Linked DNA regions of Xenopus tropicalis. The protein of the gene in region 2 purifies or fractionates together with the protein of the main gene of each other region. This does not show direct contact. Links are inferred from orthologs where the notes say so. Each region holds a gene or a part of one and is shown on either strand. Other genes may lie near its edges.

Region 1 (6,176 bases), on a different chromosome or scaffold from region 2:
TGTGGTGCAGCATGCTGAGCTACAGGTGCAAGGGAACCTTCCACACTGCACTGCTCCCAGGTCTCATACTGTATGTGGTTTCTATTGCATTAACCAACAAGCAAGCTGTAATATTGTGGCATTGATGTCAATTTGTCTGACATTTACAAAAGGACGTATTTTATGCCCACATTTGTGCATTCCGTGCCTGGCAGTAGGTGCAACATTTCTGATGAGTAGTGACAATGAAATTTAGGGAACAAAATAACACTGCATTGTGGCTAAAAAAGCAACTGTTTTTTGCTTTGTTGCCTTTAGTACCTGAGGCCCTTTCACTCCTTTCAATCAGCGACACACAAAATAAGAGAGAAATGAATGCATGCTACACAAGGAAAAGGAACTTTCCATTCTCTGGCACCAACCTGGGAGCTGAGGGCTGAATGTCTTCGCTCTAACTCTCTGCAACCACTTTGCGCAGCTACTGAATGAGCTCTCATTGGTGACATCAAACACCAAGCACAGGGCACCCGGCTGGTCCCACTGCATGAAAAAGAGCATTCAGAGAAAGCAGCATTAAAAATAGAAATGCTACAAAAAAATCTTATTTCTAATTCCTACATTCCCCCATAAACATATATTTTCATTTTAATTACCATTATAGGGTACCCACATGGATCCTGTAAATGATGGGCACACATTTCTATACACAATCATAAATGCATCGCTGTTTGTCCATATATTCTCATGTGAGAAATGCATTGGTTACTCTGGAAGCTTTATCCTTGCCTATCCTCAAAGTACTCAATTAGCCTGTACTAGTGAATTAGACATTGGATCTTTTATCAACATATGCCTTTTTCTACTACATCTTAGTAGTCCACCAATTCTCTGGAGTCTCTTTCGTCAAAAATGACTGGGAAGAGGTGAGTCTCTCTGGAAAGCTGCTGATAATTGCTTGTTTTGGCAACCCTTGGTTCAGAATGACTTTTGGGAAGAAAGCTCAAGATTGCTCCTAAAATTTCTAGTTATATGGGATACCCTATAGCAGTGGTCCCCAACCTTTCATACTTGTGAGACACAGTCAAATGCAAAAAGACTTGGAGAGCAACACAAGCATCATAAAAGTTCATGGAGGAGCCAAATAAGGGCTATGATTGGCTATTAGACTGCCTCTATGCACACATCAGCTTACAGGAGGCTTTATTTGGTAGTTATTATTGTCTTTATTCAACGAAAACTTGCCACCGAGTCAGGAATTCAGAAATAACTCCCTGGTTTGGGGGCACTGGGAGCAACATCCAAGGGGTTGGTGAGCAACATGTTGCCCCTGAGCCACTGGTTGGGGATCACTGCCCTATAGGCTGAAGTTTACCCATTGGGTTTTAAAGAACAGGCAGGGCAGTATGCTGGTCAAATTCCCAACTACAGACCAGTTTTCCCCCCTAGCATATGTAAAGCCAGGGAAGTGGATCCACAAGAAACACATTTTTGTAGAGATATCCTTATTCATATGCAAAGCAGAAGGAATTAGCCCAGGATTGCTCTGACCTAGCTGAGCTTTAAACCCCAGTAATGTAGAGAGTGCTATTTTGAGACAATTTGAAACTGGTCTTTATTTTTTATTTGAAGTTTTTGAATTATTTTGCTTTTTGTTCAGTAGCTCTTCAGTTTGGAATTTCAGAGGGTATCTGGTTGCTAGGGTCCAATTTCACCTAGCAACCAGGCAGTGTTTTGAAAAAGGCAGCAATATGAATAGGAGAGGGCCTAAATAGAAAGATAAGTAATAAAAAGTAACAATACAATTGTAGCCTCAGAGAGGAATAGTTTTTGGCTGTTGGGGTCAGTGACCCCCTTTTTAAAGCTAGAAAGAGTCAAAAGAGGAAGGCAAATAATTTAAAAACTATAAATAAAAAAAGACCAATTTAAAAGTTGCTAAGAATAGGTCATTCTATATGGGTGAACTACCCATTTAAGTGTATTCCATGTTAAAGTACATTTTAGGAGTGGGTTTCCTTAATTCGCTCCTCTATTCCTGTACAGCAGACTGTAGGTGGGTGGCAACCTGAAGGTCAGTTGCAGTGACATTTTGGGAGAATGCCTGCTTGCTCTCCAAGATACACCTGAGTTCAATTGGGGAAAACTTTTTTGTTGTTGTTCTTAAAACTAAAGCTAAATGACCTGTATCTTTTTAGCAAAAAGGGGGACCTGATTAAAGGCTTGAACTGAAAAAGTCCAACAACCACTGCTGTAAAACATGATGCCGCTCCTTACTGATTGCTAAGGACATTCATTTTCTAAGACAGAAGCTGCCATACTGATTCCCTAAAAGAAGGGGTTCTTTAAAACCTTACTAATCAACTAGAAGAGATGTGTTCATATTTGCACAGTCATGCAATGATTTGCATTCTCCAGGGCCTTGGTTACACAGGGAAATAAGTGTCAACTCTCCCCTTTTCTTCTTTTCTCTTCCCTCATTTAACGTGGAATAAAAGAAGAAGAAAACATTGTGGGTTACCATTATAATTGGAAAAATCAGGGTAATAATGTTTCTTATAAAATGACCTCTGTACATAATCATGAGCTTAAATGGAACCAGCATTACAACTGCCTGATTTATTTTTGGATTGGATCAAGTAGAAAGGAGCTGTATACTTCACAGCCTAACCATTTATTAGGTAAGAAAAGACAGGAGCCTTATAGTGCGAGGTGCTTCAGATTGGATTGCGTAAGACTCAGCACGGCGGGATTGGCTTCAGTAGCTTTGTCAGAATGAACAGAGGGACTTACCAGCTTCTCCGTCACCTCATAAAAGATTGCTTTGCCAGGACTGTCGCAGAGGAAGAGCTCCTGTAAAGGAACAATGGAATGAGCTGGGCTTATATGTGAAGTCTCAGAACAGACTGCATAATGGACAAAACAGAAAAGGCAGGTTAGCGGAGAGGTGTGACCCTGGGCTTAATGTTTTATGGCCCAATTATTATTTGTGCAAAATGCCCAACTGGCAGAGCATATATGGTTAAATTAACTTTACCCAAGTGGGTATAAATAGCTTGTGCTGCCCCAGGCTGTTAACCCCTACCATCTGGGAAATATATTATAACCATATTTTCCAATCCGCAGATAAGGTTGCCACCTACTGGACTGCCCCAGACATCACGGTTCCACCCCTGACATCACCAGCGCACCCCCCTACCCCACATCATTGTGCATGGTAGGAAGTGATGCATTACGTCACTTTTTGTCCAAACAGGTACCCCCTATCCATTTTGGATGTAGCTGGCACGTATCTGGTGAAAAAAAAAAAATTCTGCTAAAAATGTTATTTCCCATATCACCAGTCAAGAGCATCGCCACTAAAGCTGCTGCCCTAAGCTTGGGTCCTAAAGTGCCTATATGGGTAAATATGGGCCTGGTCCCACAACCTTTGTCTGGCTTTTGCTGGCAACCCTATTCACAAATGTCTCCGATTCTCCAACCAACCCTTATTTGATTAACCTTGCAAAGGAAAATAATTGTTGAATCTACAGAAAATAAAATAAAATTGTTAAAAAAAAAAAACAAAAAACAAAACTACAACCAGTGTAGAAGAAGCCAGCTGTGAACACACATTCAAAGCATTGTGGGAGTCTTGGCTGAATGAGAGCTGGCTTCTTTTACTTTGCTTTAAAAGTCAGAACCAGCTGTGCAGAAAGGGCCAGAAAAAGACTGCTTTCTACAGGAGCGATATTTACAAATCAGAAAAGCACCCTTACCACACTATCTCCAGTATCTGGTATCTGAACGTTTTTTACAGAAACCTCCATGCTAGTGGTCTGCAAGGCAAAAAATGACATTGTAGTTTAGAAAATGTCAGTACTGGTGATCAAATGTACACAGCGCCAACAACATGCAAAATCCAGAAACCCAGACACTACTTCCCAATCCCGTTGGTACCCTGCAGCCTATATCCACCATAAATTCAATGTATTTCTATTCGGCATGACCTACCATACTGTAATTCTTTGGGAAATGGCTCCCATCACTCCGGAAGAGTTGGACCAGGGTACTTTTCCCCACAGTTGTGTCACCTGTGATAGCAAAGGAACATATGTCACACACCTTCACTCAAAACATTTTATTTCAGCTCTTAAAGGAAAATATATCCCACTTGTTGACATGAGTTCCTTCAGTTGGGGCTATGCTAAAATGGTGCATAACACTATCTGACCTGCCAGAAATAAATATATAGATTTATTTTTTACACAGACATGCCCGATTCCTCAGATTGAGAGGAAACCATTAGAGCCTGTCTCTGATTCGCAGGGACCATTTCCTAACCCCTCCTCAGCAGAAATACTCAAGCCCTCCTCTCACCTTGTTCGATGAAATATTGCAGAATAATGTTCACCCTATATGATTCGAGGAACACATGTCCTTGGGCTTTAGCTTGAAGGTTCACCTTTAAATTAACTTTTGTATGACACAGGCAGTGATATTCTGAGACAACTGGCAGTTGGTTTTCATTTTTTATGATTTTTCAGTTATTTAGCTTTTTGTTCAGTAGATCTCCAATTTAGAATTTCAGCAGATGTCTGGTTGCTAAGGTCTTGTTTACCTTAGCAACCAGGCAGTGGTTTGAACGAGAGACTGAAATATGAATTAGAAAGGGACTGAAAAGAAAATTAAGGAATAAAAAGTAAAAATGATAAAATTGTAAGTTCAGTGATAGTTTTTTTAAGTACTGGGGTCTGTGACTCCCATTTAAAAACTATAAAAAATAAATAATAAAGAACAATTTCAAATTTCTAGGAATAGGATTTTCCATAACATATTATTATTTAACTTAACCACCCCTTTAAAATGATACACAATATCCAATAAAATGTGTTTTATAAGAAGGCGCTCAAAGAATCAATAGAGAGACAGGCATAGTAAAAAAAAAAAAAAAAATTATTTTAATTGTGAAGGGTACAAATGACCGAATGCGTTTCATGCTGGATAGTACCAAAACACGAAGGCCATTTGTATCAGAGAGATAAGCATAGGGGAGAGCTATGGTTTGGGGGTTTGCCTTGGCACCTCCCTGACTTAGCCTGGCTCTGTCTGTCTGAGTACCTGCTTAAAATTAGCAATGTTTATAATATGGTGATTCTAAACGTGCTTTATAAATGGCAGATTCTTGTTCATCAGGCAGAGATTTGATTATTTTTCTCAATACCAAAACCAATGCTCATCCCTAACCTCCTTGTAAATTCTCCCTTAGAATATTCTACAAATAACCCAGCTGATAGTACTGTTGCAAAATACACTTTATGTGCCTAGTCTTTATACACTGTCTGGTCTGCCCAACATAAATGCAACTCGGTGAGCACAAACACAGAGCCACCCGCCATATCACGTAGCAAAGCCAGGGACATTCCCCTTCTTCCACTTTGTACCAATAAAGGTCTCAATGGCTTCTTAATACAAGCGCAATAAACTCTTCAGGGGTCTGTAATTATGGGTAAAGCAATTCCGCTGCTCACTAGTCTGTTTAATGGCACTCACAGCTAACATACTCCAGACATGCAATTTCTTCCCTTACATAATCATGCGCCCTGTTGGGCAGTATTGTGTTCTTTATACATAATATGGTAATGTATATAATCAACACTGCCACTTACTCCACCAATTGAGGCCACATGGTAGCTGTAACTTTAAGTGTCATGTAAACAGTGGTATTATCACAAGGCTTTTAATAAATGGACGCCGTGCCCTTTTATTGTTGCCCCCTCGAGGGTGCATAATCTCATATAAAGGGAAGGCATAAGCCGCAAAAAATGGGGGTGTTAAAATAAAGGTCAATAAAAAGATAAAGCATATATTTAAGGCAATTAGAGCTTTCCATTTATCACAATTACCTTTATGTGCTATGAATCATGAAAATAACACAAGCCAATTCTTTGCTGATGGACGACTTACTCTGTGCTACAACACTGCACGCTTATCATTATACACACAACCAGAACATAAAACACAATAGTCTGTCTAGTTCAACCATTAAAAGAGAGAACTAAACCGTAAAAAAACATCATGGGTAGAAATGCCCCCCCCCCCCCCCAGCTCTCCCCTTACTAACCTGTATCCGTCTCCGGAACAGCTTGAAGTTGAACAGCTTTATGAGCTTCTGCACACTTGGGGTTGGGACAATGTTCTGATAGGCTGGAGGACAAATGCTA
Region 2 (5,116 bases):
ATGCCTGCTTAATCTTTACCAGTGGTGCTGCAGGAAAAATGAAATAAATAAAATCAGTTTTACTCCTCTTCTTTAATACAAACAGACCAGCCTTGGCTACTTTTCTACTGAGTGCCCTACTGCCATCTTCAGTCACCTCCCAGCTATCTGCCTATGATTGTAGCACAGCACTAAACAAAGGTACTCCAGGGTGCTGTGCTATTTACAGAGGAGGTGCACCTGGCTAAAAAGTAAGTGTTTGTGGTCACTGGGGGAGTCTGCTAATGTACATTAGAAGTAGCTGCACCTGTATGTGTAAACACACACAAAACAGACAGCAAACAGGAGGCCAGGTTAGTAAATACTGCCAACAGCTGGCCTATGCTATACCAACTTGCAGAGAAGGTTATAAGAAAGTTAAGCTTTGTGTAACTTGCTACTTAATATTTAGTCCTGTTTGGGGAAATGATTTTTGGGTAAGTCATGTGCTTTTCCAGTTACACCAGATAAACAATAAACAAATAAAATAAAAAAAAGTCTCACCACCATCAGTCATGCTACTCCCCTTTTCTTCCATTTCCTGCTTTACTTTTTCTAATTCCTCTGTTATCTGACAATAAAGCACAAAGGAAATATGTAAAGTAGGAATGAAGTCATGATGACACTGCATCTGTTATTACTAAAGGAAATGCTTTACCTCAGCGAGGATTCTGGTTCTCTCAGTTACCCCTCCACTTGCTTGCTGGTATCTTTCTTTTGCCTAATAAAGGAAACCCGAAAATATAATTTTGCATGTAAAAATATTAACCCAACATTCATTTGTACAGTATCAATTACATATAAGCCAAATCACTTAAGATTATACAAAACATACACCCCTCTTTACCCTTGGTCTTTGTCTCTCATCAGTAACTGTTGTCTACAATCCTGTCTCTAAAAATAGAAAGGATACAGTTGAAAGACTCTTTTTCCAAGAGACTAACACTGTGTTATTCATGTCTGCAACTCACAATAAACAGAAATTCACCTAAGGCAAGCCTATGTTACAAGTAAAAATATAGCTAAAACATTGTGCGACGCCTTCAGTGAGTGCCACCATGCTGCAGCTACAATATACCCTGTTGTTCAACATAAGTCCTATGAACAGGGCTTGTTCTGAAGATATTTTTTGCCTCTTGATTCATTCATGAAAATCTTTTCTTAGTTCCTGAGCTAAACAGGGAAACTGAAGCTATTTCATGTTTAGTCATGGTGAGATATATAAGATTAACAGTATACAATTCCCTCTTTTCCACTTCATGTACCCATGGCCTTAGTGCATATTCTGTCAGGCTGAGAAGACTTGCATTCAGTGGGGCTGAATCCAGGGCATTCACACAGTGTAGTGGGGATACTGTGTAATGTAGTTTGTGAATGGTAGTAGCCTTCAAGGATAAAATCCCTTGGTACTGCATTAAGGACTTAAGTCTGCACTTCTTGAATTGAACAGTTTTTAATTTGTCTTTCTAAAGAAAAACAGAAGAACAATGAAGTGAGAATGTGAGGGTACCTCGCTCAGCTGAGCCTGTACAGATCGATACTCTTGCACCAGCTGCTCCAGTTGATTGTTGATGTACTTTTCACGGCTACTAACTTTCTCCAGTGCCTTGGCAACTTCATTGTGAAGTTTGTCAAGGTATCCCTGCAGTATAAACAAAAAAAAACCAAAAAAACAAAATCCATTACCCATCTATTATATAAAACTGCCAATAAAAAACATGGTTATTTCCCACTCAATAATGTGCTAATCTATAGGTTAAGTCAGTGAATTCCGTATTCCTGTTCTCTGTCAAAGTATTTTCCAGATTTACACAAACACACACAATATTATGGCTCACAAAATGTAGCTGTACAAAAGTTATGCCTGCTAATGTGGCTCTCGCTCATGAGCAGCAGGTTGCTCACCAACCCCTTGGATGCTGCTCGCAGGAGCCTCAAAGCAGGTGCTTATTTTTTAATTTCTGGCTTGGAGGAAAGTTTTGGTTGCATAAAAACAAAGTATAGACTGCCAGTCCACATGGGGCTACCAAATAGCAAAAACTGCCCTTTCTGGCACCCCAGGAACTGTTTTCAAGCTTGTGTTGTTCCCAAACTCTTTTTAACTTTGAATATGGGTCATAGGTAAAAAACCCTAAACAAAACTTTACCTTGGTTTCCTTTAAGGATGTGTCAATGCCATCTCTGTGCTGGTGCATCTGATCAACATGGACCCTCCAGTCCTATAAGCCAAAGATATAAATATGAATATAAATAAATGAAAAGTAAACCTAACTGGTAATTAGAATACTGACCAAATGATAATTACAAAAAGCAGGCCAATTGTGATTTTCTCAGCTACTGTTATGACGGTTATGAAATGGAGAAATTCAATCCATTACTGTTTAAGCTTGGTTAAAAAGTTTATAAAGTCACAGACACTAATCGCAGAGGTCAGACAGTGATAAGGTTATGTGATTTACACTACCATATATAGAGGCAGAAAATACAAACTTACAAAATGGCAGCACAGTGACCTAGTAGTTAGCATTGCTGCCTTAAATTATTCTGTGACTGTGTTTCCTCCAGCTGACCCTTCATTTCCTTACCACCGAATGGCTTAGTTGCTCGATAAACAGACCCTATTGTGTGCATATGCTTATTGTAGTAAACTTGACTGTAAGCTCCACTGCGGAAGGGAATAATGTGAGCACTGATCAACTCTGTAAAGTGCTGTGGAATAATAGAATGATGTCTAACAATGAGACCTTGTTGTCTGTCCTGATTGTGACTTTAAGCTGGGGCAGAACACGTTCCACTTCTAGGATCCATTCTGCTGCATCTGTGTTTGATTCCAAAATCTCTTCTGGTTTGGAAGATTCCTTTGTATTCTAAAGTAATACAGAAATAGGTTTATATGTGAAGTTACAAAAGGCCATTCAGCACTCAGTTTTAATGCATAACAAATTGGTATCTTGTGATGTTATACATTCTCCACAGAAATAAACATCTACTAGGTGGCACTATTCTCTTAAAACCTATAAAGAGTGCCTCATCTGAGAAAGTTCTACGGCAACTCAGTGAACATAGGTAAAGTTGTATGCACAATAACAGAATCTCCCCCATTAAAATCGATGTTAGTCTTACTTAGAAATATGGAACATGTTTTTTTGTTTTATTTGAATAAGTATCATAAGGATACAGACATATTATAACTAACTTCATCCCTATCGTGCCCAGAATCTTTCAGTTCTGTCTTGCTTTAGCCATGGTGGCAGTTGGTCTCCAGCAGAGCTTGGCAGCCCAATTTCCACCACTTATAAAGAAAACAGGGGCTAAAATTTTGAACCTGCACCTCAGTGTTTCACTCTTTGTGCTTCTTCACTATTAAAAGGCCTAAAGGGGAGCACTGCTTCTATCCTAGTAAATGAAGAACAAAGAGTCATCCCTAGGACATTGTATTCCTAGAATTAAGTGGATAATAAAATCATTTTAAAAGCCTATATATATCGTATATTTACATTCATGAAACAAAAATGTAACTTACCAGTTTCTGTGTTTGTGCTGAAAGAGCATTTAAATCAATAAAATGTTCCTGATCATTGTCAGAATCCTCTTCCTAAAAATGATACAGCTTTAGTTAACTTTTATACATGTATAGTACATAGACAACAAAATATGTGCATAAGCATCATTTCACATCACAAGTATATGTTTTAAATTTTCCATGGAAAACATCCAATGCCTTTACATAGTAAAAAAAAAAAAAAGTTATTCTTAAAAGGTACATTAAAGGGAACATGCATTTTTTAACCCTCTCTTAGCCAGTGCTCTTTCTAGGCCTGGCAGTTCTATTCAATGCTATAAGTGACCGCCATAACTAGAAACCTGCTTCCTAGTTCTTTACTGCTCTGCTAGGCGCCATGCCACTGGCATAGCATTAATTACCTTTTTTTAGTTGTGCCAACACAATGGGGCCGATTCACTCAAGTCCGAAAAAACGAGTGATATTTATAGCATGCGTTAAAAATATTATCACTTCTTATATTTTGAGAATTAAGGATCAATTCACTAAGAGGACACTTGTCAGAATTAAGAAGCGATGTAATTGTCGTTATTCTGGCAATGACATATTTTTAAGAGTTATTTTAAACCATGCAATATATTTATGCGTTATTTCGTAGCACGCGATATTAGCGCACGCTATTGCGCACGTAACCGTTACTTTCTGAAAACTACTGTTCTGAAAATTACCATTTCCCTGAAAACTGGAGGATGCATGACAAGTCCATTTTGTCACCACAGACAATCACCAGCTGCAATTTTGTTTAGTAACGCCTACTCGTGGGTGGCGTTAAGTTTCACAGTAATTATCGCCACATTTTATGCTTTTAATGCTTCAAATATGTTTGTGAATTACACGTTAGTATTATTTCTATTCAATAATTACCTCAATGCGATGGAAATAACGCTTTGCCATAATCAGGCTTTTTGCACATGCGATATGAGTAGTAACGAATGAAAAAAGACTTTGATGATTCGGTACTTAATTATCGAACACTTTTTAATGCACAAAACTATGCGTTACGTGTTAACCACCTTTAGTGAATCCGACCCAATATGTTATCAAACTGACTCCCTCATTTCTGAAAAATGACCATTACCTGCTCATGTATAGGGTCATGTTCTGACCCACAGTAGTTAGCAGTTGAAATTCCACATGATGTGGCCTGGGTCAAACAGTCAGAAAGGTGCAATCTGGGCATTCCCATGCATGGTCACATTTTGCAATGCCAGCAATCTTGCAGTGGGCAGAACCAGTGGATTCTTATGGAACAGAGAGCTACAAGATATTTAAACCTAGCTTAAACTAAAACTAGGATTGTTTCATATTTCTATCCCTATTATTTTTTACCAATTCTAACTGACTGTGCCTTTAGGGATACAAATTGCATTAAAATACAAAAGCCGTGCAGATACTCACAGCAATTTCATCTTCAATTTTGTTTAAAGTCAACTCAGCATCGTCCTCAATTACATTTTCTTCGTCTTGCTCTTCTGTTGGGTATGTAGGCCTATAATGATACAGAACATGGCAACGGACAGATTAGATACAATAAAC

The links. The genes of interacting proteins can lie anywhere in the genome.
Region 1: the proteins of ift57 (region 2) and ift27 purify together in Homo sapiens (co-immunoprecipitation; 3 studies listed by BioGRID and IntAct, with this or other methods). This does not show direct contact. The link is inferred for Xenopus tropicalis from reciprocal best matches to the Homo sapiens genes IFT57 and IFT27.

Annotation. Positions count from the first base shown.
Region 1 is NC_030680.2:123,414,621-123,420,796, reverse strand, and holds part of ift27 (intraflagellar transport protein 27 homolog), read right to left. Parts: intron 4,047-6,176; coding exon 3,967-4,046; intron 3,792-3,966; coding exon 3,732-3,791; intron 2,827-3,731; coding exon 2,767-2,826; intron 520-2,766; coding exon 402-519; intron 1-401. UniProt on the Homo sapiens protein: Small GTPase-like component of the intraflagellar transport (IFT) complex B that promotes the exit of the BBSome complex from cilia via its interaction with ARL6. Not involved in entry of the BBSome complex into cilium. Prevents aggregation of GTP-free ARL6.
Region 2 is NC_030678.2:103,603,738-103,608,853, forward strand, and holds part of ift57 (intraflagellar transport protein 57 homolog), read right to left. Parts: intron 5,070-5,116; coding exon 4,979-5,069; intron 3,614-4,978; coding exon 3,542-3,613; intron 2,886-3,541; coding exon 2,763-2,885; intron 2,238-2,762; coding exon 2,166-2,237; intron 1,661-2,165; coding exon 1,529-1,660; intron 740-1,528; coding exon 677-739; intron 590-676; coding exon 523-589; intron 28-522; coding exon 1-27. UniProt on the Homo sapiens protein: Required for the formation of cilia. Plays an indirect role in sonic hedgehog signaling, cilia being required for all activity of the hedgehog pathway.